4 linked regions of the Schizosaccharomyces pombe genome follow. The gene in region 1 interacts genetically with each later gene. Each region holds a gene or a part of one and is shown in the gene's direction. Other genes may lie near its edges.

What was found.
Region 2: mutations in scm3 (region 1) and alm1 are lethal when combined (synthetic lethality), as found in Schizosaccharomyces pombe (one study listed by BioGRID).
Region 3: mutations in scm3 (region 1) and mis16 are lethal when combined (synthetic lethality), as found in Schizosaccharomyces pombe (one study listed by BioGRID).
Region 4: of scm3 (region 1) and mis15, extra expression of one is lethal in a mutant of the other (dosage lethality), as found in Schizosaccharomyces pombe (one study listed by BioGRID).

The regions. Positions count from the first base shown.
Region 1 is NC_003424.3:1,859,131-1,864,030, forward strand, and holds scm3 (CENP-A histone chaperone Scm3), read left to right. Parts: upstream 1-2,676; 5' UTR 2,677-2,803; coding exon 2,804-3,814; 3' UTR 3,815-4,002; downstream 4,003-4,900. Other genes in the region: cell surface adhesion protein for conjugation Mam3, read right to left, coding at 1-1,011; mRNA export receptor Nxt1, read left to right, coding at 4,233-4,251, 4,304-4,632; protein dpc13, read left to right, coding at 4,842-4,900. UniProt on the Schizosaccharomyces pombe protein: Centromeric protein that plays a central role in the incorporation and maintenance of histone H3-like variant CENPA at centromeres.
Region 2 is NC_003424.3:3,189,971-3,198,849, reverse strand, and holds alm1 (nucleoporin Alm1), read left to right. Parts: upstream 1-2,082; 5' UTR 2,083-2,134; coding exon 2,135-7,318; 3' UTR 7,319-7,403; downstream 7,404-8,879. Other genes in the region: ntr1 (RNA-binding splicing factor), read left to right, coding at 8,059-8,879. UniProt on the Schizosaccharomyces pombe protein: Maintains the proteasome and its anchor cut8 at the nucleus envelope and is required for kinetochore component proteostasis. Proper kinetochore stoichiometry ensures the correct attachment of kinetochores to spindle microtubules during cytokinesis.
Region 3 is NC_003421.2:581,375-586,943, forward strand, and holds mis16 (histone H4 chaperone, CENP-A recruiting complex CENP-A chaperone Mis16), read left to right. Parts: upstream 1-2,751; 5' UTR 2,752-2,760; coding exon 2,761-2,845; intron 2,846-2,917; coding exon 2,918-3,023; intron 3,024-3,095; exon of another isoform or gene 3,096-3,111; coding exon 3,112-4,213; 3' UTR 4,214-4,519; downstream 4,520-5,569. Other genes in the region: SPOM_SPCC1672.09 (triglyceride lipase-cholesterol esterase), read left to right, coding at 1-252, 298-821; SPOM_SPCC1672.11C (P-type ATPase P5 type), read right to left, coding at 4,532-5,569. UniProt on the Schizosaccharomyces pombe protein: Regulatory subunit of the histone acetylase B (HAT-B) complex. The complex acetylates 'Lys-12' of histone H4 which is required for telomeric silencing.
Region 4 is NC_003423.3:1,447,727-1,453,196, reverse strand, and holds mis15 (kinetochore protein Mis15 ), read left to right. Parts: upstream 1-2,826; 5' UTR 2,827-3,041; coding exon 3,042-3,348; intron 3,349-3,406; coding exon 3,407-3,540; intron 3,541-3,593; coding exon 3,594-4,382; downstream 4,383-5,470. Other genes in the region: NEDD8 protease Nep2, read left to right, coding at 1-1,010; SPOM_SPBC32H8.01C (uncharacterized protein), read left to right, coding at 2,093-2,182, 2,261-2,310, 2,403-2,826; rps1002 (40S ribosomal protein eS10), read right to left, coding at 4,698-5,065, 5,114-5,189.

The DNA.
Region 1 (4,900 bases):
ACTAGGAAAGCTACTTTCACCAATAGTAACCAAAGATGAACTTGAAGAAGGCAAATTTGTAGTTTCAGAGCTGGAAGTTACAGAGTTGATTAACGTGTAGGTGATAACACTAGAATCACTTGTAGCGGTTACAGTAGTAAACACACTATCAGTAAGAGTGGAAGATGTTTCCACTAAATAGCTGGACGAGCTTGAAGCTGGAGAAGACAAAGTGGAGGGTGTTGCGGGGATATCAGTAGAAAAGGAAACAGTAGCTTCTGAAGTACTAACAGGAAGTGTACTCGAAGCAGTAGTTGAAGCTGCAATGTCTACGGATGAAGAAGTATATGCCGATTCGGTAGAAGTGATACTTACAGAAGTAAGTGTTTCCGAACTGCTAACAGCAGGGGAATTAACAGATGTAGTCAAAATCACTGTATTTGTGGATGAAGATGAGTCACTGGGTTCACTGGAAACATAACTAACAGAACTAGCTACTTTCGATGAAACGCTAGCTGATGGAGAAAATACGGGTGTTGATGAAGGGCTCATGGATAATGTGGAAATTTGAGAGCTAACAGCCGTACCAGTAGGTGAGTTGATAACAGATGAACTAGTACTAGAAGAAATGTCTACTGTAGAAGTGAAAGCTTGACCACAAGACAACGTAACATATTCTGTAACAGTTTGAACTCTGTCAACGTATTCCGTAACGGTGGAAGTAGGATTGGAAGAAGCTGCATTATTAGAATTGCCAACAGAGTCAATTAAGTCTTGAATGGAGGAGTTGGAAGACCCGATAACACCAATTATAGTAATGTACTTGGCATCTAAGGTACTTAGAATCTCAGAAGCAGAGGTTGAGTTATAGATATTGCCAACTTCGAGAGGGCTTGATTGGCAAGATTCTAAATTAGAAGATGAAATTAAACCTACTGACCGACTGACGTTAAAAGTGTCATCAAGTGCAGATGGGGATGCCCAGGAAAATCCTAGCAAAACGAGAATAAAGAAAGCCAAAGCAATCGACATGACGAATTATGGGAAGATCAAGCGATAAAAGAAAAATTATAATTAATAATGTTTTTCAAAGAAGAAGAAAAGAAAGTATTAAAAAGAAGCAAGACTCAAATCAAAAGATAGATAAAAAATTGAGAAATGCGATGCAATGCAATGAGAAGTTATTTCAAAATTCTACTAGTCTGAAAAAAACTAAAAAATGAAAAAGCAAAAGAGTGTCAAAAGGTAATGAGGAATAAGTAGACGAGCGAATGGCAAAATCAGAGAGGTTTCAAAAAAATCGAGTTAAGTGATCAAAATTCCTTGCTGAACCTATTTGTCAATTGCAATACTAGTACTAAAACAAAGTCTTCGTCGTTCCCTTCTTTTTTTTCTGATTGCAGTTTCTTATTCAGCTTGCTTTACGAAACCTTCAAATGTAATGACAAATATGGAGCTCTATGCGGTTTTTTATACTTAGGATCCATGGTGAAGGAATACAAAGAAATTCGAGTATTTGAACTATACAATGCTCAAACAATGGTGTAGTGTTTTAAAGAAAGTGCAATTATGGAGTAGTTGAAAGAGTTGCGCTGTACTCAACTTCCTTTGTTTCATCGGCATGCTGTGCTATTCAGGTAACGGGTACGTTTATTGTTGGAGGGGAATGAGTAATTCCTATTGTCATATTCCATATGGTGTAGTAATTCTTTTCATGTGAATGCTTCGGTAAAGAAATTGTTCAAAACAAGCATACCGTAAGAAACTGAAACATGAAACGACTCGGTTTTGCTTCAAGTTATAGAAGACTGTGTTCATGAGACTAAGTCACAAAGAGCCAAAAATAGTTTATTTTACAATACGTTCCCTATCGTGTCCAAATTGTTCTGTCGTTTTGTTTAACATTTCTATTGTTCTCGCTATTGTCTGTTTCACTTGGCACTTAGTAAGAATGCAAACAATGCCGAGATCAATTCATCCTTTGTTCTAATTATTTAGCGATGATTTCTCCAATTCTATGTTGTAATGGAATTGATAATAGTTACTAGTTGGTACAATAGACACTTTCTAAAAGAATTCTATTGAGGAGCTGCGCTACGTATCCTCATATTTACATGAATGAACAATCAAAATATGGCTAAACTTGTCGAACAGAACGCTTTCAACTAATACGAATTATTTGTGAAAGAAAGCCAAAGAATCGTCACGCTTCTTTGGGGCGATGTGACAAATGGAATGCTCAACTTATGGGATTTTTTTATTAAATTGTGCAAATGATGCAAAGTAATATTCACCAAAACGAGTATCCTTATTTTCTTTATTTTAGGTATCGTTGATTTCTCATTTTATCATTAAAAAAGTAATGTGGAATTGCTATGTTCGTTGGAATCCACAAGGTATCGCAGCGTTCGTTATTATTACAAAATTGTATGTCTATTAATTTTATGTATTTTAGAAATTCTTAAACAGTATAGAATTAGTGCAAGAACAGATAAATCAGTCTTTTGGAGCAATGAGTTAATTTACAAGCGTTAAGCGACCATCATTGAAATTACACTTTTGCATAAACTATTCAAAAGAACTTTTCATTATCTTTTTTTTTTGATCTCTAAGTTCTAACAGAAATTAAATCTAAAAGTCATTCGTGAATTAGTTACGAAACTCTAATACAAGTCTACAGTTATGGCACCGTTCACTAATAAACCACTACTGAAATCGCTTTCCTACTAATAACTGAAAATCTCCAATTTTTGCCTTAAGAAATTTATTGGAAAGGATTTTTTGAACAAAATTTCTCAATACCAAATGATTTTAACTTTCAATCATGTGCAATCGTCAACCGAAAGCCGTTGACCTGCCTCCAAACTATTCTTGTCCACATCTGTTGTCTTTTCAGTCTGTCGAATTTAATACTAATCCTACGGCTTGTGATGATGTGTTTTGTAAAAGAATTGAGTCCGAAAAGAAGTACAACGACTTTTTGGAATCTCTTTTCAAAAAATATGGACGCGACACTTCTGATATAGCTGATGAAGTAGATCTTGCAACTGGTGAAATTATTGTTAATAATGGACATCTAGAAGCTTTAAAAACAAAAGATGATATATGGGATCCTACATTTAACAACCTTGAAATCTCAGCGTCAAATGGATACGAAAAAAAATTAGACTCAAGCATTGGCAACCCAGGGGAAAAAGCTGTTTCACCAGTCCATATAGAGGATTTTCAGTCTCCCCAGATCTATAAATTTAAAAATCTATCACTTCGTGATGAAATGGTGTCAGATTGTGTGTTTGCAGATGAAGTTCCTTTAGCTTCACTTTTTGTGGAAAATGTTTGTAATGAAACTATACCCTCTCAGTCATGCGTGAGACTAAAAATCAATGATAAAACAAGAAAAGTTGATGCTTCAGCTTTGGAAAAAAAATCTTGTCTGTTGCCAAACTCATCAGGAACATTAACAGATCAGCGTGGTTTGGATACAATCAAGCATAAAAGCATAGAACAAAATGAGATTTTGCACGTCATCTCTGATACTTTATCTTCACCGAGAAGAAGGAACCCTTTATTATCATCTCCTAAAACTCCTTTACGTAGATCTTTTTCTAAGTCAAAAGTCCGAAACTCCAATTCTACAAAACGAAGAAACTTTATTTCATTAATTTCAATGATATCCCCTCGACCTAATCTTTCTACCCATCATTTTAATCTTGGTTTTCAACCTTTAAGTCAACAAACTTCGTTCTCAGGAAGTAGCACTCAGAACCCTCATTCTTCCAGCACTTGTAAAAAAGCATTTTGTTTCCAATGCATTTCTGAGTCAAAAAAATGTTGATTCAGCTTTAAACCACTTATTCTCCCATCTTCTTCGCTTGCCATACCATGGCTTTTAATGACCTATTTCTTCGAACATATATTTATTTTTTGTTTTCATTTACAACAAATTGTCTTTCGAGTTATCATGTTACATTCGAATATATATTTTTTTACTAATATATTAATCATTCGTTGAGTTTTTACGTGATCTATGCTTTTGTAGTATGGCAAATGAGTACACATAATTGTTCTCCACTCTTCATGTTATAAGTAAAAATCGTAGTCATAAAGATATCTAGCCGAAATATCCATTCAGTGTGTTGAACAAAGATTATCTTTAAATATCGCTTAATGAGTACAATATTTCAATTTATAACACATGTACCTGTTTAAATGACTACTTACACCACTACAAATTTCTGTCATTGTGAATCATTATGGAGTCGAGTGTAAAATGTATGTTAAATGCCGCATTACTAAAGCTTTATCTATAAACTAACAATTAAAGATGCGCAGGAGTTCGTCCAACGGTATTACTCATCTCTTGATACGAACAGAAATGGGATCGCAGAATTTTACAGAGAAAATAGTTTGATCTTATGGAATGGAAAACCCATGCAAGTAACCGAATTTACCTCTATGATAGTTAATCTTCCATACTCCAAAACTAAAGTTGAGGATTTCGATAGTCAACAGGTCATGGGTAATGATATGAATATCATAATTGTTGTTTCAGGAACAATACGTTTCGATGGAAAAAAACCTCATGTATTTTCGTATGTCAGTTTTTATTGTATTTACCTTCTTGTACTAAGATCCTCTACTAACTTCCTTTAAGAGACAATATAGTTCTACAACAGGAAGAATCAAAGTATTATATTGCCAGTCAAAATTTTAGAATTATGAGTGAATAATACGTATCCAAAACAAAGATTTCATTTCGTTTAGAGTTTGTATTAATTTGCCGCAGCAAGCTTATCTGAGCGACACATTCCCTAATCCCTCATACTTCTTTAGAACACAAAATTAACCACCACCTTACAAATATGAAATATTGGAAGTATTTGTCTCAGCTGACTATCAGAAGGCCTCTTACATACAACAA
Region 2 (8,879 bases), 1.3 Mb from region 1:
GTAGTAGAAGGCTTATTAAACAAACTACCACCGGTATTGGTTGTGTTTGCATTATTGGATCCAAAGAGCCCGGTTCCGGTATTGGAAGTAGCATTATTCGTTTGCGTAGAGCCAAATAAACCGGTACCAGGAGTACTGGAGTTGGCTGATCCAAACATGTTAGAACCCGCAGTGTTCGCATTTCCGAATAAACTTCCGCCAGTGCCGGTAGCATTAGTAGCTGTGTTGGTATTAGCACCGGCTCCTAAACCACCAAACAAACCTGTCCCTGCTGGTTTAGGAGCAGTGGTAGCAGTGGATCCAAAAGCTGGCTTGGGAGCATTATTAGCATTTTGCCCAAAAGAAAAACCTCCGCTGGCAGGAGTAGTGGTCGTGGAACCAAAACCGAATCCAGAAGGCTTAGTGGCTGCATTATTATTGGCACCAAAGGAAAAATTACTACTATTGTTACCACCAAAAGTAGATGTTGGAGCGGTGTTATTATTTGCCGTATTATTATTAGCGCCAAAACCAAACAAACCTGTACCCATGGTACCTGAATTGGGTTGGTTATTCGTGTTGCTTCCAAACCCCCCAGTAGAAGAACCAAATCCCGTACCCGTACCAGTGGCAGCACCACCAAATAAGCCACCCGTAGTTTGACCTGTTCCTGTATTGGTTGCGTTATTTGAACCAAAAAGACCCGTTCCTGTACCAGTATTGGTAGTGTTAGTGGTTGAGCCAAAACCTGAAAAAGCTGGTTTTTGTTGATTAAATGTAGAGCCACCAAAAAGACCGGTTGAAGGAGTTGAGGTGGTATTATTGTTTTGACCAAATAACCCACCGGATGCATTATTTGTTCCAGAACCAAACCCTGTATTGGTAGTGTTACTACCAAATGCAGATCCACCGCCAAAGAGACCGGAACCAGGAGTGGTATTAGTAGCATTCGATGTACCAAACGGTGTTGCATTATTTGTGGTACCTGACAAATTCTGACCAAACGGAGTAGTTGAAGCTCCAAATGCGGGTGTTGAACCAAATGCAGAAGTAGTGTTCGTACTAGAAGCATTGCCAAAACGTCGTCCTTGATTATAGTCTTGTAAACGCAACTCTTCAAATGAATAAGATCTATAAGCGGGCATACAAGTTATAGACTGGAAGACACTAGTACCGTTTGTTTGAGGGTCTTTTTCAGAAGTTACCGCATAAGGTGGGTTAGCTGTACCATTCACAGCGTTTGCATTGCTTGAGACAAATCCAGAGGTTCCGAAAGCGTTGGTCGTAGCGGGTGTAGTGGACGAACCAAACAAGCCACCACCAGTACCTTGCGAACCAAACCTGTATTTCCAGCAGTATTGCCAGCGTTATTTTGAGAACCAAACAAGCCACCACCGGTACCAGTATTCGATGCAGTGTTACCGAACCCTGTTGAACCAGCGTTCGATCCAAAAGAAAATGACGTTCCAGTATTTGCATTGTTGTTGGCGGTATTTGATCCAAAGAGGCCACCACCACTAGGATTTGTGGCGTTGTTCGTGCCTCCAAAAGCAGGAGTATTGGATTGGCCAAACATACCTGTCCCAGAGGACATTCCAAAACCTGTGCCACCAGTCGTGGTAGTGTTGTTTCTATTTCCAAATAGTCCACCGTTCGTATTTGATCCAAACAAGGGTTGAGTAGTGTTCTGCCCAAAGCCAGTTGTAGAAGTGTTTTGGGAACCAAACAAAGTGTTCCCTGGAGTATTGGAGTTGGAACCAAATAACCCACCAGTTTGTTGATTATTTTGACCGAAAGCACCGGTTCCTCCTCCAAATCCGGAAGAATTGTTTTGTCCAAACATCACTAGGATGATATTTGATTAAATAATTAGTAAAGTCACCAAAATTGGTGTTGTGTGGACGACAGGTCCGAATAGTGCACTGCTACTCAAGATACGTTCAAGGCGTGATAGAGAAGAATACAGAAATTTAGCTTTTTTTTTAATACTCACGGTAATTACAATTTTTAAATTTGCTTCATTTGTTTTTCTCAACGTAATTGTCGCATTTCTTCTAACGTGGTATTATTTCTGTACATCGAGGTTGATCACTTACTTCTCGTATACGTACACTGGTGCTTCATAAGTCATCGAACGTTGATTCCAGGCTAGAAAATGTCTTCGGGGGGACTTGAAGATGATATTCAGCTGGTACACGAGTTTTTGGATGTATCTTTTGAGGATATAAAACCCCTGGTGTCTGTCAATGGTTTCGCTGTATTTATATCTGCTATTAAAACCAAGGTTAAAGACATAAACGCTTTAAAGGATCAGCTTGTCCTTCAAGAAGTCAACCATGAGCATAAGGAGAATGTTCTTACGAAGAAGATTAACTTTCTTGAGCAACAACTTCAATCTTCTAATAATCAAGCAGAGGAATCACGTAATCTTATATCGGTATTGAGAAATGAGAACGAATCGCTGAAAACCAACTTGGAGAATCAAAATAAGCGCTTTGATGCATTGACTACTGAGAACCAGTCGCTTAGAAGGGCTAACTCTGAATTACAAGAGCAATCTAAGATTGCTTCTGAGCAGCTTTCAATCGCGAAAGATCAAATCGAAGCCCTACAAAATGAAAATTCACATTTAGGAGAGCAAGTCCAGAGTGCGCATCAAGCATTGTCTGATATTGAAGAAAGAAAGAAACAGCACATGTTTGCTAGCAGTAGCAGTCGTGTCAAGGAAGAGATACTCGTTCAGGAGAAAAGCGCTTTAGTCTCTGATTTGGCTAGTTTGCAATCAGATCATTCGAAAGTTTGCGAAAAATTAGAAGTTTCATCTCGTCAAGTTCAAGATTTGGAGAAAAAGCTTGCTGGGCTTGCCCAACAGAATACAGAGCTTAACGAAAAAATACAGCTTTTTGAGCAAAAGCGGAGCAATTATTCCTCCGATGGGAACATATCAAAAATCCTTGAAACCGACCCCACTTCAATCAAAGAACTTGAAGAAGAAGTGGAAACTCAGAAACGACTTACAGCTCTTTGGGAGTCTAAATCTTCAGAGTTGCAATCAGAGGTTGCTGCACTTCAAGAAAAGCTCACTTCGCAACAAAGTCTATACAATAATGTGACCGAAGAGTTAAATAATAACAAGCAACAGCTATTGATTTCGGAGAATAGTTTGCGGGAACTGCAAGAGAAATATGATAGTGTAGTTAGTGAACTACAAGTGGTTAAAGAAAATAAAAATACCTCTGTTTCAGCTGGTGTAGGTTTGTTTTCTCCTTTGGCGCAAAAGTTAAGCGCCGTTCAAAATCCCGAATTTTCATTTACGAAAGTATATTCGGACAATATGAAACTCCAACAGAAGGTTTCTAGCTTAAAGCTTCAGCTAGACCGCTTGACTAACAAATTCTCCTCATTTTGTGAACAAGTTAAACAAAGGATTCCAGTTGTCAAACAACAGAGGAGTGAAATCGTTAGGAATAACATTTATATGAATTTTCTTAGCGAATCTTTGGAAACATCTAACAACAACCTAACCAAAGTACAAGCAGAGCTTTTATCGACCAAAATGCGCCAAGAAGCTTGTTACTTGCAGCTCACCGCATCTCGTACTCAATGCAGTGATCTTTCTCGAGAAGTTATTTGTCTCATGGCCGAACTTGATCATTTGAATGAAACTAAATCAAGAAACGTTCCCGCTACTGTGCAAGTTGCGCTTGATGAATACGCTCAAAATCCCTCTACTGCATCTGAGACACTAGTAAACAAGGAGCTTGCTAATTTTTCATCTATAAAGGAAGCTGTTTCGAAAACTCTAGAACTGCGGGAAAAAGTGCGGGCCCTTGAATGCGATGTTGAAATCCAAAAGCAAACTGTCCAATATCAAATTTCCAATGCAGTTAAAGAAAATTCAAATACACTTTCAGAGCAAATCAAAAATTTGGAAAGTGAGTTAAATTCGTCAAAAATAAAAAATGAGTCCTTACTTAATGAACGAAATTTACTGAAAGAAATGTTAGCTACTTCTCGAAGCAGTATTTTGTCTCACAATTCTTCCGCGGGCAATATTGATGACAAAATGAAATCCATTGATGAATCTACAAGAGAACTTGAGAAAAATTACGAAGTTTATCGTAACGAAATGACAGCTATTCAGGAATCCTTGTCTAAGCGAAATCAGGATTTGTTGAGTGAGATGGAAGCAATACGTAAAGAGTTAGAAAATTCCAAATATCAGCAGCAGTTATCTACTGATAGATTAACTAATGCTAATAATGACGTTGAAGCCTTTAAAAAGGAAGCCAAGGAGCTTCGTAGTATTAATCAAAATTTACAGGATATAATTAGTCGACAGGATCAGAGAGCCAGTAAATTTGCCGAAGAATTATTACATGTTAACTCACTTGCTGAAAGATTAAAAGGTGAACTAAATGCTTCGAAGGGTGAAAAAGATTTACGGAAAAGGACGCAAGAGCGTTTAATATCTGAAAACGATAAACTTTTGGCTGAGCGCGAGAGACTAATGAGTCTTGTATCAGATCTTCAAACTTTTCTTAACCAGCAACAGCTATCTGATGCTGCTAGAAAAGTAAAATTTGAATCTGAGAAGGAAAGCTTAAGCCTTTCCTTGCAGAAGTTGAAGGAGTCAAATGAAAAGATGAGTAATGATCTTCATTCTCTACAGAAATCTTTGGAAAAGAGCGGAATTGAGTACTCCAGCAGGATTAAGACATTAATGCTCGAAAAACAATCGTTAAGTGAAGACAACAGGAAATTGTTAGATAATCAACAAATGATGGAAATAAAACTCCAAGAATTAAACGGCGTCATTGAACTTGAAAAACAAAGATTTTCTACTTTGGAAGCCAAGTTTACACAGCAAAAAAATACGTCCTATAGCGAAAGGGAAGCTTTGCTAGAATCATCGCTTAGTGACTTGCAATCTAAACATACTTCCTTAGAATCCCAATACAATTATTCTTTAAGGAATATTGAACAGTTACAGGCCGCAAGCAAACTCGCCGAAGAAATGGTTGAAAGAGTTAAAACTGAGTATGATGAGTATCGATTGCAAACTTCAGAGTCCTTGGAAAAAAATCATTTAAAAATCACTTCTCTTGAACAAAGGATAGTTATTCTACAAGATGAGATAGCTTCTTCTTCTTTACGCTGTGAGAATATTACTAAAGATAGCGAAACAAGAGTTGCCTTGCTTTTAGAGGAAAATAAGCATCTTAACAATGAGCTTTCGTCACACCGAAATGCTGAAAAGCAACATTTAGAGAAGGAGAATGATTATAAACAACAGTTGTTGTTGGTAACTGAAGATTTAAGAAAAACTCGTGAAGATTATGAAAAGGAACTTTTAAGACATGCCGATGCTAGATCGACTCTTCAAAAACTGCGCGAGGATTACACGAAGGCATTAGAACAGGTTGAAGATTTGAATAAAGAAATAGCCTTAAAGGCCGGTATAAACGAATCTCAGCCCTTTCCCATTAGTGAAAAAGAAGATCCTTTGAGACAGGAAGTTTATGTCCTCAAAAAGCAAAACGCAATGCTTTTAACCCAACTTCAATCTTCCAATCTCAACTTTGCAGAAATAACTAGCCCATCCCCGGATTTAGATTCTGTTATGAAATTAGGATTATCAGATTTACAGAATCATGTGAAGCGTATATCCAAAGAAATGGAGATTATTTCATGCCAACGACAATTATTATTCCTTGAAAATAAGAAACTCAAGCGAACCGTTGAATCATCGAATCGAGTTATCGCCGATCTGCAAAGAGGTATAACGGAAAAGGATGTTAGCAGTACTTCTGAATCCGTTGGGGAACGTTCAAATTATCTAAACATGGTTGCTTTATTAAATGAGAGCAACAAATCTCTCCGAGAAAATTTAGAAAGGAACGAGGAAGTTATCACAGAGTTAAGAGAGAAAATAGAAACTCTTAAAACTGATTTGGCGAATTTTAGACTTAATAAAGAACAACTAGAATCACAGCTTCAAACAGAGAAAGCAGCTGTAAAAAAGCTTGAAAACAGCAACGAAGAATACAAGCGTCATAACCAAGAAATATTACTATCTTTGAACAGTAGCACATCTACGTCTAGTGATGCTTCACGCTTAAAGAATGAACTTGTTTCCAAAGAAAACTTAATAGAGGAGTTAAATCAAGAAATTGGTCATTTGAAATCTGAATTGGAAACTGTTAAATCAAAAAGCGAAGATTTGGAAAATGAGAGAGCGCAAAACCAATCCAAGATTGAACAATTAGAGTTGAAGAATACAAAACTAGCAGCTGCTTGGCGAACTAAATATGAGCAGGTAGTTAACAAGAGCTTAGAAAAGCACAATCAAATACGTCAACAACTTTCGCAAAAGACTTCTGAATTAGAAGCCAAGGTTGCGGAATGTCATCAGCTCAATGAACAACTCAACAAACCTTCTGCAACCCCCACTGCTACTACACAGTCTGAACCAAGTACGGTGTCACTGGAAGAATTCAATAGCACTAAGGAAGAACTATCTTCTACACAGCGAAAGCTAAGTGAAATTATGGATATCTTAAATACTACGAAGGAGGAGCTTGAGAAGGTCAGACAAAATAGTAATAAATCTGAGGGAACCAGTAAGGATACTGAAATACCCAACGAAGAAGAAATGGAAAGGAAGAAAGTCATGCAACAGGAAGTTTTGAGGTTACGTTCGAGAATTGCAAAAGAGCTACAGAAAAACGAATTACTCAGGAAACAAAATCAGGTTTTACAAGATCAAGTGAAAGCTTTGCAAGAGACAGTTGTGTCATCCGAGGAAGCAGAGTCCGCTTCGGTACATGCTGATACTAAAGATTTGGAAAACTTAAAAAAGACAGAAGAGATGTTATCAGTTACATTTCAAGTAATCTTCAACGAGTCCATATCTGACTTTTCGACTTCCACTGCCGACTTTACTACTTTTGTGCAAAAGGAATGGGAAAAGCGCAGAGAAATTTTACAGAAGGATGTTGAGGAACAAGTTGCTCAGTCGCATCAAAAACAACTAGATAACATCCGAAAAGAACTCGAGATGCGTAACAAGTTGAAGTTGAGCATGCTGGAAAAGAACTTAGCTAGAGTGCGAGCAGAGTTGGAGCAATCGAAGAAAAAAGATAGCCCTGCAATTTTAAGTTTGGAAGCTTCTAAAAACACTGATTCCAATAAAAGCAATTCTGAAGTCCCAGCAGCTCAAGTTAAAGAGAAAAAGTTAATCGCCAAAACTCACTCTGTTGACACTAATTCTCCTCCTAAACGGTCCAGTTCAGACGCTGGTATGGATGTTTCCAATGATGTTAAGAAAGCCAAATAGTAAAATATGAATTTTTTGGTATAATGCCCTTTTTAATGTTTCTTAAGAGTTTGTAAACAGATAATAAAATAGGTTAGCTGCATAATTATTATTTCTGGTTTCCAATAAAAAAAACGACTTTAATTTTATTATAATAAAAAGCTTTGTATTGTAATTTAATATTTTGATATTTTTTGAAGAGCTATAGATATTTTGCGCAACTAATGTCCTTATTCAGATATGTAAGCTACGCAGTTTGGTATCTGATTTAAGGATACGTAGAACTGCGGTGAGTTTTCCTTGTGGTCTATTATATTACAATACACAGGTTGTATAAGTAGCAACTGAGTATAGGTATTGTATTAACTGGGTTATAATGTTACCTATCACTAATATAGCTCATAACTGAACTGAGGAACGAGGTTCAGTTGTAACGGTATTTATAATATTTCTAAATAGTTGTTATCAACGGGTAACTATGTATATAGACGGATAGTTACCCGTGATTATCAATAAACGGATCTTAGCTAGTATTCCAACATATGACATATAGTGATACGCAACGTAGTGTATCATAGCGTAGTGTAGTATTGCTGACAAGATAAAATAAATAATGACGTTTTCGCGTGTTCTTAAGCTTAAGAACGTAACGCGCAAAAACTCATTATATGACATCCATATTTAACCCACTGGAGAACTGACCCAAAATAGAAAATTTCGGTTTTCATTGGTTTTTATTTATATTGAATTCTTGGGTTGATATGCAAAATGAGTATGTCGATATGAATTCATCTTCCGAGGATTCAGATGGTGATTCAATTTTGGAAGAAGGACGTCTTCGTCCATCTTTTCGTGGGCAGCAAAAAGAAAGGGACATGCTAGGAATATTTGGTGAAGAAGATGAAGATGGTTTTCATAACTCGGGGATTGGAAGTGCTAGACTTCGTAGAAAAAACATTTCTTTTGTTGAGAAATCTGAACAAGTTAAAGCAAATAAGCAAGTGACAGCAGATGATTTATTGGAGGCGCATTCAATTCCACAGTTAAAGAATAAAAATGATGAGGTTTCTCAGGCGAAAAATATTCCAAAGATGAAGTTTAATACTACTGGATTTGGCGCAAAAATGTTGGAAAAAATGGGGTATAAACAAGGACAAGGTTTGGGTGCCAATGCTGAGGGTATAGCTGAACCTGTACAATCTAAGCTACGCCCCGAACGTGTCGGATTGGGAGCCGTTCGAGAACGGACCGAAAAGCAAAGGAAAGAGGCAATTGCTCGTGGTGAGATCTCTGATAGTGAAGATGAGAAACATACCGTCAAACAAAAACCTTTAAGAGAAAAAAAGAAGAAACCTTTAAAATCCTCTGAAGAAATTTCAAAGGATATGGGAAGTTATAACTTGCCTAGGTTCTTAGCCAGTCTCATTGATGCTTCCTTAAATGATACTAAGGAAATCGAATTTGTGACTTCAAATAAAGAAGAATTGGGTTTAGAAGGTCGTGATATGTCCACTTCTGGAATTAACCAGCTCTCCAGGCTTGCTCGGGTTGAATGTGAACACCATGCTTCTGCATGGCAACA
Region 3 (5,569 bases), on another chromosome or scaffold:
CTTCTGGGCAAACAAAGCTCACTTATATAGGATTTTCTCAGGGCACTGCTCAAGCTTTTGCTTCTTTGAGTATCCATCCCCTGTTGAATGACAAAATCAACTCTTTGATAGCGTTAGCACCTGCAATTAGTCCAAAAGGTTTACATAACAGAGTTGTAGATGCCTTTGTAAAAGCCAGACCTTCCATATTATTTTTCCTTTTCGGACGAAAATCTATTTTGCCGTCTGCCGGATTCTGGCAAAGCTTTTTAGGTACGGTTTTTTTCTTTTAATAATTTCACTGACATTTTTATCCAGCTCCAAAATTTTTTGATGCAGTCCTTGCATACTGTTTGTCTCAGTTATTTAACTGGTCTTGCCAAAACATTTCTTCCTATCAACGCTTGGTTTCATTCGCCCATTTGTATTCATATACTAGTGTAAAGTGCCTTGTGCATTGGTTTCAAATCATGAGAAGCGCAGAATTTAGAATGTATGATAATGACCAGCTTGGTCATGACTATTTCCTCAAATATTACAAAGCTGCCAAATTCCCTACAAATAATATTCGCACCCCTATTTATCTTATTTGGGGAGGCAGCGACTCACTCGTTGATATCCAAGCGATGTTGAATGCTTTGCCTGCGGAGGTGGAGCATGTTAAGGTTGATAGCTATGAACACTTGGACATGATTTGGGCAGACACAGTTAAAGATTATGTTATACCTCCTGTACTACGAAGGCTTCGTGACATTCACCATCCACCAGAGCATGAGGAGAATGATAAAGAAAATCGTGAAATCCAAAAAAATCATATCGCTCCTAGGAATAAACCAATTTAATTTGATTGAATTGAAAGACTTTGCCTCAACACATCTTTTGTATATTTATTATTAGTTAATGTTTTCTACGTTACTATTTTATTATTGCTAGATATCGAATCCCTGATGTTATCCGTTTGTTCAAAAAAAAGAGAGAAAAAGTTTCCTAAAGGCTAAATTTTGCCTTTTTTTACTGATGACCTGTTTGTTCTCAGTTTTGTGATTATTTACGCTTATGCACACCGAAAATTTCATCTTTGAATACTTTGAAGTGTTTGTATTTTTTACTGTCATTAACAAAACCGCATTTGAAGTAGCAGGTTAATAATAATGACTGTTAAGACTGCGGTTCATAAAATTTAATTATTTTGCTTATTGTTTTTTTCAATTTCTTCTGTGCCCCGATTAATTAAGGTGTATCCGACAACCAAGGTTTGGATGCTCGATTATGTAGGCAACACAAAAATTTACATGATATGGATAGATCTTTCATAGAAATACCTCTAAATTTTGATGAATTTACTTTAGCAAGAAAAAAAAAGAATGCAATGTTAAAAACTGTTACAATAATTATAAATATACAATGGGTACCAGAAGTCGCTATGAAAACATCTGAAGTAATAAGATTACGATCAACAACTCAAAACGTGCAAATATACTCCAATTATACTAAATTCCTCTCTTATAATTGATATACTGATATTAATTGCCTCCTCAAAATACTTAGCAAACGCAAGCATTATTCCAAAAAAAAGTCGAGACGAATAACGAGCTAGACCACTGTTGGCATGCATTTTAAGGCAATGCGGTATACAAATTCCTCAGTATATCAAAATAAATAACATTAGAAAGAAAGTACTCATCTGGGAATTTTTTTTTTTTAATTCACAACTATATTTAATAAATATTTTAAATTAAAATCAGTAAATTGCTATGATGAGGTTAAAAGAAATAAGAGACACGATTTGAATTGTACTGTTATCGAATAATTTATCAAGTTAGCATGTTAAAGTTTCCACGACAAGTACCCAAAAGTCTGACTACGTGCTATTAAAGCTAGCTAATCATATAAATTAAAATCAGCCAAAACTCATAGTCATTTCACAAGTTTCTCTTTTCAGCCATTGTTTACATATGAAATTTTACTTAGTCTCCAGAACATCGTTTCTAATACCCTAACCTAAGGTAAAAACCGTCACAACAAATTTACTATATATAGGGTCTGTTCAGTTGATGATTCACCATCATCAGTAGGTTTTAACTTACTTTGTTATATAAGTAAAGTAAAATCAATCCTGAAGTCAAGTATGATGGTTGGAGTCTCCGGACCAAGAAAATGCATCCGTTCCGTCTTCAGCGAAGAATTGAGTGGCTTTCCCGGTCGTTGACTTTTTTCCATGGGTCAAGGATGGGATTGTCTCCCAGACATTTTTAATTAAAAAAAGTTTATATTTGATTAGTTTAGATACGTACCCAAAGTTTGCAATACTACATGATTTGTTTAATAAATTTACGGTGTACTGTAAAACAATTCGTAGAGCCAACAGTATAAATATCCCATTGATGGCTGGGTTCAATAGTTTTATTTTTAGTGTAAATATAATGACAATCTGTTTATCAAAGTATACTGAGATTATAATATTTGTTTTTGCCAAATGGTTTTATAATTATTAGAGCATGATAAAGACGATGTTTGAGGAATTCTTCTCACTATGAATGTCTGTTTTCATGGAGACGTGGCATCAAGTAATGGTTTTTAGAGGCATGTTCAAATTTGTTTTCGCTCATTGAAACTTGTTTTCTATATCGCTGTTCATGAATTTTATTTTATTTTTTTTTTATTTCAGACTTAAGAGTGCGCTAGATTTATTTGGGCATCTTTAAATAATGTAAATTACTTATAACTCCAAAACTTTTAACTTGGCAATCTAGTTTGGGCCATTGTGTAGTTGCCCAAAACATGTCAGAGGAAGTAGTCCAGGATGCACCTCTCGAGAATAATGAACTCAATGCCGAGATAGACTTACAAAAAACAATACAAGAAGGTATGATTAAAGGGAATTCTTCATTAATATATATTATTATGCCGTAATTACTGACGATTATACTCGTTTCAGAATACAAACTTTGGAAACAAAATGTTCCCTTTCTGTATGACTTGGTAATAACCCACGCTTTGGAATGGCCTTCTTTGACAATTCAATGGCTTCCTGACAAAAAAACGTACGTTGCTTGCCAAAGTAGTTAGGCTATGATTATACTGGCCTTTACTTCAAACCATCTCATCAGTTTTCTAACTCGATTCTTGAAGAATACCAGGTACTGATTACTCTATTCAACGTCTTATTCTTGGCACTCACACATCTGGTAATGATCAAAATTATTTACAGATTGCTTCTGTGCAATTACCAAACTTTGATGAGGATACCACCGAGTTTACTCCTTCTACGATTCGAAGAGCACAGGCCACGGGCTCGTATACGATTGAAATTTCACAAAAAATCCCTCACGATGGCGATGTCAATCGTGCTCGTTACATGCCTCAAAAGCCTGAAATCATCGCTACCATGGGAGAAGGAGGAAATGCTTATATTTTTGATACAACTTGTCATGATGCCTTAACTACAGGTGAAGCACTTCCTCAAGCAGTTTTGAAGGGCCATACTGCTGAAGGTTTTGGTCTTTGCTGGAACCCGAATTTACCTGGAAATCTAGCAACAGGAGCAGAGGATCAAGTTATCTGTTTATGGGATGTTCAGACACAATCTTTTACTTCCTCTGAGACAAAAGTCATTTCCCCCATAGCCAAATATCATCGTCATACTGATATTGTTAACGATGTTCAATTTCATCCTCAACATGAGGCATTATTAGCATCGGTGTCGGATGATTGCACTTTGCAAATTCACGATACTCGGTTAAATCCAGAAGAAGAAGCTCCCAAAGTTATTCAGGCTCATTCTAAAGCCATAAATGCCGTTGCCATTAATCCCTTTAATGACTATCTTTTAGCAACAGCCAGTGCTGATAAAACAGTAGCTCTTTGGGACCTCCGTAATCCATATCAACGGTTGCATACCCTGGAAGGACACGAAGATGAGGTATATGGGTTAGAATGGTCACCTCATGATGAACCTATATTGGCATCCAGTTCAACTGATCGCCGTGTTTGTATTTGGGATTTAGAAAAGATTGGAGAGGAACAGACTCCGGAGGATGCCGAGGATGGTTCTCCAGAATTACTATTTATGCATGGAGGCCACACAAATCGCATCTCAGAATTTAGTTGGTGTCCAAACGAGCGTTGGGTGGTTGGAAGTCTTGCCGATGATAATATCCTTCAAATATGGAGCCCTTCTCGTGTCATTTGGGGTCGTGATCATGTTCAGGTTTCTCCTAGGGATCTGGAGTAAAGTTGGCCATAGAAAAAAACCCAAACTCACTTTTCCATCCTTCTACGCTTCATCTGTTTTTTGCAATATTCTTTACAATACAGAGTCATATGGTAATTGACTGCTCTCTTTTTTTCAGCTTTTGTATAATTTAAAACAAATGATCTTCGTCGCCTTGTAAATACATCAAAACTACTGTTATAAATCAGACTACATTTCTATAACACCAGAGATTAAATGTTTTGTTTGACCATGATAAAGTAAAAAGGATAGTAACTATTAATATTATACATAACAGCAAAAAAAATCTATTGAACAACAAAAGGGGGATAATATATCTCAAACTTGTTCATTTTGCAAGTCTGCGAATAGGCGTTTGTATAGTTTCTTCGAAACTTTCGTTCGGCGATTAAGTAAACGATTATTCAGGTGAGATATAAAATTGGTCATAGAAATGAAAATGTAATTTTGACCGCTGGCTGCGAGTAAATAATAAATAACACCAGCGAAGATCAAAAAGTTCTGGAAACTTTTGGACGTAGGCGTAAGTTGGAAAAGTTTCATAAAAAAGTTTTTATGATTTTGAAGTCGTATTAACTTAACGGTCAGGATCAACAAAACAACAACGACAGCTGTAAATGAATAGTTCCTCCAAACTTTTTCTCTGTAAGGAGGTCCTATGCTCAAAACCACTCCAATAAAAATATATTGGAAGCAAGAAATTAAAAACAGAGCAGTTACATCGCTATTTGTAATATTCGTATCTGAGCTATTCGCAGGTGGTGGTATATACCAGGGCTCTCTCCGTACTATCCTTAAGGTTATATATTGAATTATACAAATAAGGACGATTTGACCGATTAGAGGAGATAAAATACGTTTGGAAACCAAATTAGCGGTAGGTCTTTTGTGGGCCAAACGATGATAAGGTCGAGATCTCCCCATGAAAACCGCAATGGGAAGAATAATGACAAGATCAATAAACAAAAACTGGAAGTCTCCAAGATTTGAATTTGTTGTGTACAATATACTGACAGTGATAAATTGAATTGCAGAATACAAAGCCATATATTGGAAACAGCTAAAGCTTGTGACTAGAGCAGCTCGCCCATCTTTAATTACGTCAAGTACACAGGTAATCTCAAACCATTTACTAGTGAATGGAGCAGCAACTGACGCTTCTGCTTCAGAAAGAGATATTCCTACATCGGCTGCTTTCAAAGCACCACAATCATTCGCGCCATCTCCACAAAATCCGACACAATAGTTCAAATTTTGGAAACACGAGACAAGCTCATTCTTTTCCGATGGTGACATCCGAGCAAAAATCTGTGCTTTCAGTAAAATATGGTGAAAAACATTTAGAGGAGCATAATC
Region 4 (5,470 bases), on another chromosome or scaffold:
AAAACGACGTCGACCACTTTCGTCCTGGGTATTGGATCCTTGATACAAACATCGATTTCTTTTACGAAATTATGTTGCGTCAAGTCTTGCTCAAACGTCCCAAGGAGGAGAGTCAACAAATATACTTGCTTCGTCCTGCTATGGTCTTCTTTTTGGCCCAGGCTCCTAATCCTTTGGAAATCGAGTCTGCCTTACCTCCTGCCATGTTTGATGCATCGTTTATCTTTCTTCCTATCAACGATACCAATGAGTGTGGTATCGAGAGCGGCTCGCATTGGAGTTTGTTAGTCGTCTCCGTTGAAAAAGGTTTGGGCTGGTACTATGACTCCATGTCCAATGGTAATACCAATGACTGCAACCTTGCCATCAAAAACCTTGGCATTCTCCTTAAAAAGGAATTCCGTGTCCGACACATGAAGACTCCACAACAAATTAATGATTGTGATTGCGGCCTTCATGTTTGCGAGAATACTCGTATCCTCATGTATCGTCTATTGCAAAAGCCTTATGTACCCAAAGTGGACATGAACTTGGACCATTCTGTTGTCGATAGTGTGCGTCTTCGCAAGGCACTAATGGAGGTCATTACTTCTTTACTTGCTGCTTATGGCTCCAAGGTACCCAAGCCTTCAGAAACGCATACCGATCCTGAAAAAGATAAAAAGATCTTTTCTAAAATATGCAAGACGGAAGAGTTGTTAGAGCTACCTACGCTAAGCGCTGTTACTTCTGATTCGGCCCAACCGCATTCTTTGCCAGCTTCTATGCCCAGTTCGCAACCTCAATCAAGGTCGGAATCTTTGCCGCTCACACATCCCAATTCGGAACCAAATCCAAAGCTCGATTCACAGCCCAACTCCTCACCAGTTCGTAGGCCATCATTAATAAAGGTAAAGACCGCTAGTACTTCTGTTCTTCCAACCTCGATACTTCAGAGACCACCCTCAATCGTACCGAGACCGGAAACCGCAGCTATACAACATACACAACAATCCATTGAGATTCATTAATTTCCTCTGTCTCCCAAAATGCAACTTGCTTTGAAGTGAAGTTTGGATGTCTGATTTATTTTTTGCTTCATCATCGAATTGCATCGCATTGCTTTTTTCATCCATTTTTTGCCGCTATTTCCGTGTTTCAAGCATACAAGTTTTATCGGATTGTTCAGATGGTTATTTTTTTGAGTCAAGTTTTGTCATTGTAAATCTTTAGATGTTCATTTGCATCCTCATATAGTCGTGAGAGATGAGGTATGAACGGATGTTTGTGTGTTATTTATGGAGGCTCGTCTTTTATTATTATTATTATATGTGTTTGGTTCTCGGTTCCTTATTATTATTATGTTGCTTGCTGGTTATTTTCTTGCACAATGTTGCTTATTTTTTAACTTGCTATTCCTTTTAGATAAAGGTATCTGGGTATAAGATTCCACTTATGCTGTTGCTGTACATTGCTGGTTTATCCGGTCACTCGTTTTTCCTTTTTTTTTTTCATTTTTCCATTGTTGATAAGAATTTGTCCCTTTTCTTTATCATTTCTAAATATTTATTTATCTTTGTATTGTCATTACTTATGCGTTTCATTTCTAAATCACTGATTTTTGCAATGTTTTCCATCTTTAGGTTTCCACCTTTTACTTGCTACAATTTTTATGAACAAACAAGTTGATCAATAGAAAATTTTGGAATTGCTTCCAGTGTTTTATTTTACCTTCCCTTTACAATAGGCTGAATAGACTTTACGAGTTGTATTCATTGTCCGAGGAAGGTTTTCAATAAGAAGTTTTGTTAACATGCCTTTTAATTGAATATGTATATGTGGGTGTACGTTGCACTAAAGCCTTTATTTATTTATTTATTTTTTTTGATCTGAGCAAAAAAAGTCAACATGTTGCTTAGTTGTCTATACAATGTTTGGGCAATTGCAAAAAAAATCAATAAAATAGATTGAGTATTTTATTTTTATTTTAGTTATAAATTAAATAAATTAAGTATTCTGTGGTGCTTGAACCGTCTATTAGATAAATTGATGTGTGAGTGTAATTCAGGCGATTCACCCCTTCTCTCTTCTTTACCTCAAATATAAAGTAGTAATGTTGAAGAAAATGCCGATGTCCAATAAATTTGAAAATTTCTATACATTGAGACAAGTTTCAGAAGTAGATAAAAAACCATGCTTTATTGTAAGAAACAACAGCAATTAAAAATTGCCCATTACCTTGATGAAGCACCATTTTCTAATACACTATTATCGTTTCTAGTGTTACAAGCCTACAAAATGGGTATTAATAACAAAAACTAAATTAGATTTGTAAGTAATCATTGTGAAAACCTTCATGGTTTGAGTTGATACATAATTTAATGGGAAGGAAAAAGTTTTTTTAACCAACAAAATAAAAATAGTTTTTATGTTTGCTACAATCATTTGCAAGATCGAGGTTTTGCTACACCAATTTCCGTGATTAAATCAGTGACTAACAAAATCGACACCAACAAACTAGAAGCTAAGGATGAGTCAAAAAACGTAGAGAAGGATGCGACCGGTAATCCACAAGAATCAAAACAGGAACCAAATTTAGAAGTGCAGCAGACAGAGAAGGAGAAAGATGTAGATTCGGCGTCTGCCGAGAATGAATCTATCAACTCCTCCTCCTCATCTTCTAAAGAATGTTCAACACAGACCCAATCCAAACACTATAATCTTCATCGAGATATTTTCCAAATGCGAATTCGATATCATGCTAATAGAGCAGCTGCCGAGAAAACAGCAAGACTTCTGCAATCTGGGCAAGGACTCCCTTCACCACCATCCAAACCATTGCCTTAGAAGAACTTGGGAAGAGTTAAATTTGCTTACAGCTGGTGCTGCCAAATGATCTCAAAGACCATTCTTTTGTAACATTAATATTTAACAAAACAAATATATCTGAAATCCTTCGTTAGTGATCAGTGTTTGAGAGGATAAAAAATTAGTCCACGGTAACGATTGATATATTGTGGCTCCTTGTCGTAAACATAAGATATTCAAAAAGGAGGACCGCTATGCGTACTGAATTGTCTAGTAATATTCGAATCAAGCATGACAAGAAGATCCAGAAGCTATTAAATCGATTTCCTAGGGATTTCTTAGTAAAATTGTGTGTAGAATGGATTCAGAAGCAAACATACCCACCAAATGCCAAAGACATCAATTTAGAAGATATGTTGGACGATGAAGAGTGGAATCCCGAAGCATTTTATAAAAATGTTCCAAAGAGCATGCTCAAACGCAGCATTATTCATCGAATGCTTGTGTACGATTGGCCTAATGGATTCTACTTGGGCCAAATTGCACAGCTGGAGATATTGGGTATGTATTTTTGTTGACACACCTTAACTATTCATTGCTTTCTAATATCAATTCACAGCTCTCGCTCATGGATTTGTCAGTATGCGGTGGACTGCTTCCAAAGTTCATCATTCCGCCGAAAAGACCGTTTTACCCAATCCTCTTGTCTTCTTAGAACTACTGAAGTCGGAATTAGAAAGCATATTTGTATATGTACGTGAACAGCGAAACATAATCATGGAAATATTTGCTAACCGTTTTAACAGCACACATATATCTCCAGGCATGAAACATTACCTATTACTTTTATCCGTCTCGTTTTATGGGATTCAAAACGACCCACTGCTTTGCACACGTACCCATCTTCCAAGCAAATATTTTACCTCGGTCTCATGGATGACTCAGATGTTTTACTACACAACATATTTTTACGAAATGATGTGTGTCATTCTCTATTTCTACAATGCTTATCGAGGCTACTTTATAGACTTAAAGCTGGTTCTGCCCTTCGACCCATAGACTTAGTCTCGAAAAACTTAACTACCTTTTGCACCAATGTTGGTGTTAATAAGGAAGCAAATGCCTTAGGAGCATGGCAAATTTACGCAAAAAACTTGGTAGATCGGTCTCCATTAGATACACGACCGATCCTTTCTGACGATAACAGTTCCCTCATTGCGGATAGCACTCAAAATTGTGAAAAGCACCGTGAAATGGCTATTCAGCGACGATTTGGTGACACACATTCTCAAGTGCTTGATAAGTTACTTATTACTCTTGATCATGACTATATAGAAAAGAGCACTGAGAAAGATAAGGTTCTTGAAGAAAATGTAGAATCTTATAATCCTACTGAACAACGGCCATTAGTAGTTATGCAACTTCGTGGCCAACATATTTTGGAGGGCTTGAAAGACATATGTCGTCAAGATGCTCTCGATCCTTTTACTATGCCATCGTACCTTACAGGAGAAACCGGATTATCAATACTGTATGTACGGGATGGGCTTGTTCTACAAAGGCAGGAAAGTCTCGGACAACAAGAGATTAACTAAGGACATGCTAAATATCCGCACTGTAAAAAATACACGCTGCAGTTGGAATGTACTTTTATAATGAATACGATTAATTCGATCGCTTGAACCGTTATTTCCCTTCGTTATCAATAATGCGAAAACCACCAAACATACTCATCATAGTACAAGCTATTAAATATAAAAAACATAAATACACTCATTAAACTATCCAACCACTAGTAGGAATTCATAATCTGCATAGCTGATTTACATCTACGGTTTACTAATACAGTACACACACACATAAGATCCTACCAAGCATACATTTGAATTGAATATATTAACTTTTTGGGCTTAGGCAGCAACAGGGCGACCGAATCCACCACGGAAGGAAGGAGCAAATCCACCGGGAGCAGCACCATCATCCTTCTTCTCGGCACGGCGGTAGCCAGCATCAGCAGCAGAGCTACGCTCACGAGGCTCAGGACGGCCAGCACGGGGGGCAGCAGGACGAACTTGACGCTTGTGAGTAGCGGGCACAACCTCAGCGGGAAGGTGCAAATACTCACGCAAGTATTCAACACCCTCGTTGGTCAAGGTGTAGTAAAACCATCCCCAATTGTAGCGGGTCTTAAGATAGCCGCGAGAATCCAAGGATTGACAAGCCTTAATGACTTGCAAGTTGGGGACACCAACTTCGGGGTGCTTGGGGAGGTTGAAATCTACGCTTGTTAGTTAAACCTTGGTCTACGACGTTTTTTAGACATTACCCTTCTTAGCAACGAGGACACCTTGTTGGAACAAAGCTTGATGAATGGCCTTGCGGTTCTCCTTGGGAATAAGCATTTTGTGAGGAATTTGCACGCTGCAACTTGTCGTTTCTGTGTTGAGGTCTACACAGTGACTGTTTTTTTAAAGCACATTTAGGGTAGGGTATGGTCTTTTAAAGAGATAAGGAATTTTGTTACAATCCGTTAATGGGTCTTTTTCCAAGAAGTAAACAATGGAACCTTGAAAACGTTAAGGCTAATAGGAAAGCAAATCTATGACTATGGAATAAAGCACAAGTTCATTACAACAGATTAAAAAATTTTCTTTAAGAAAGCAACAATAATAATCTATAGTTT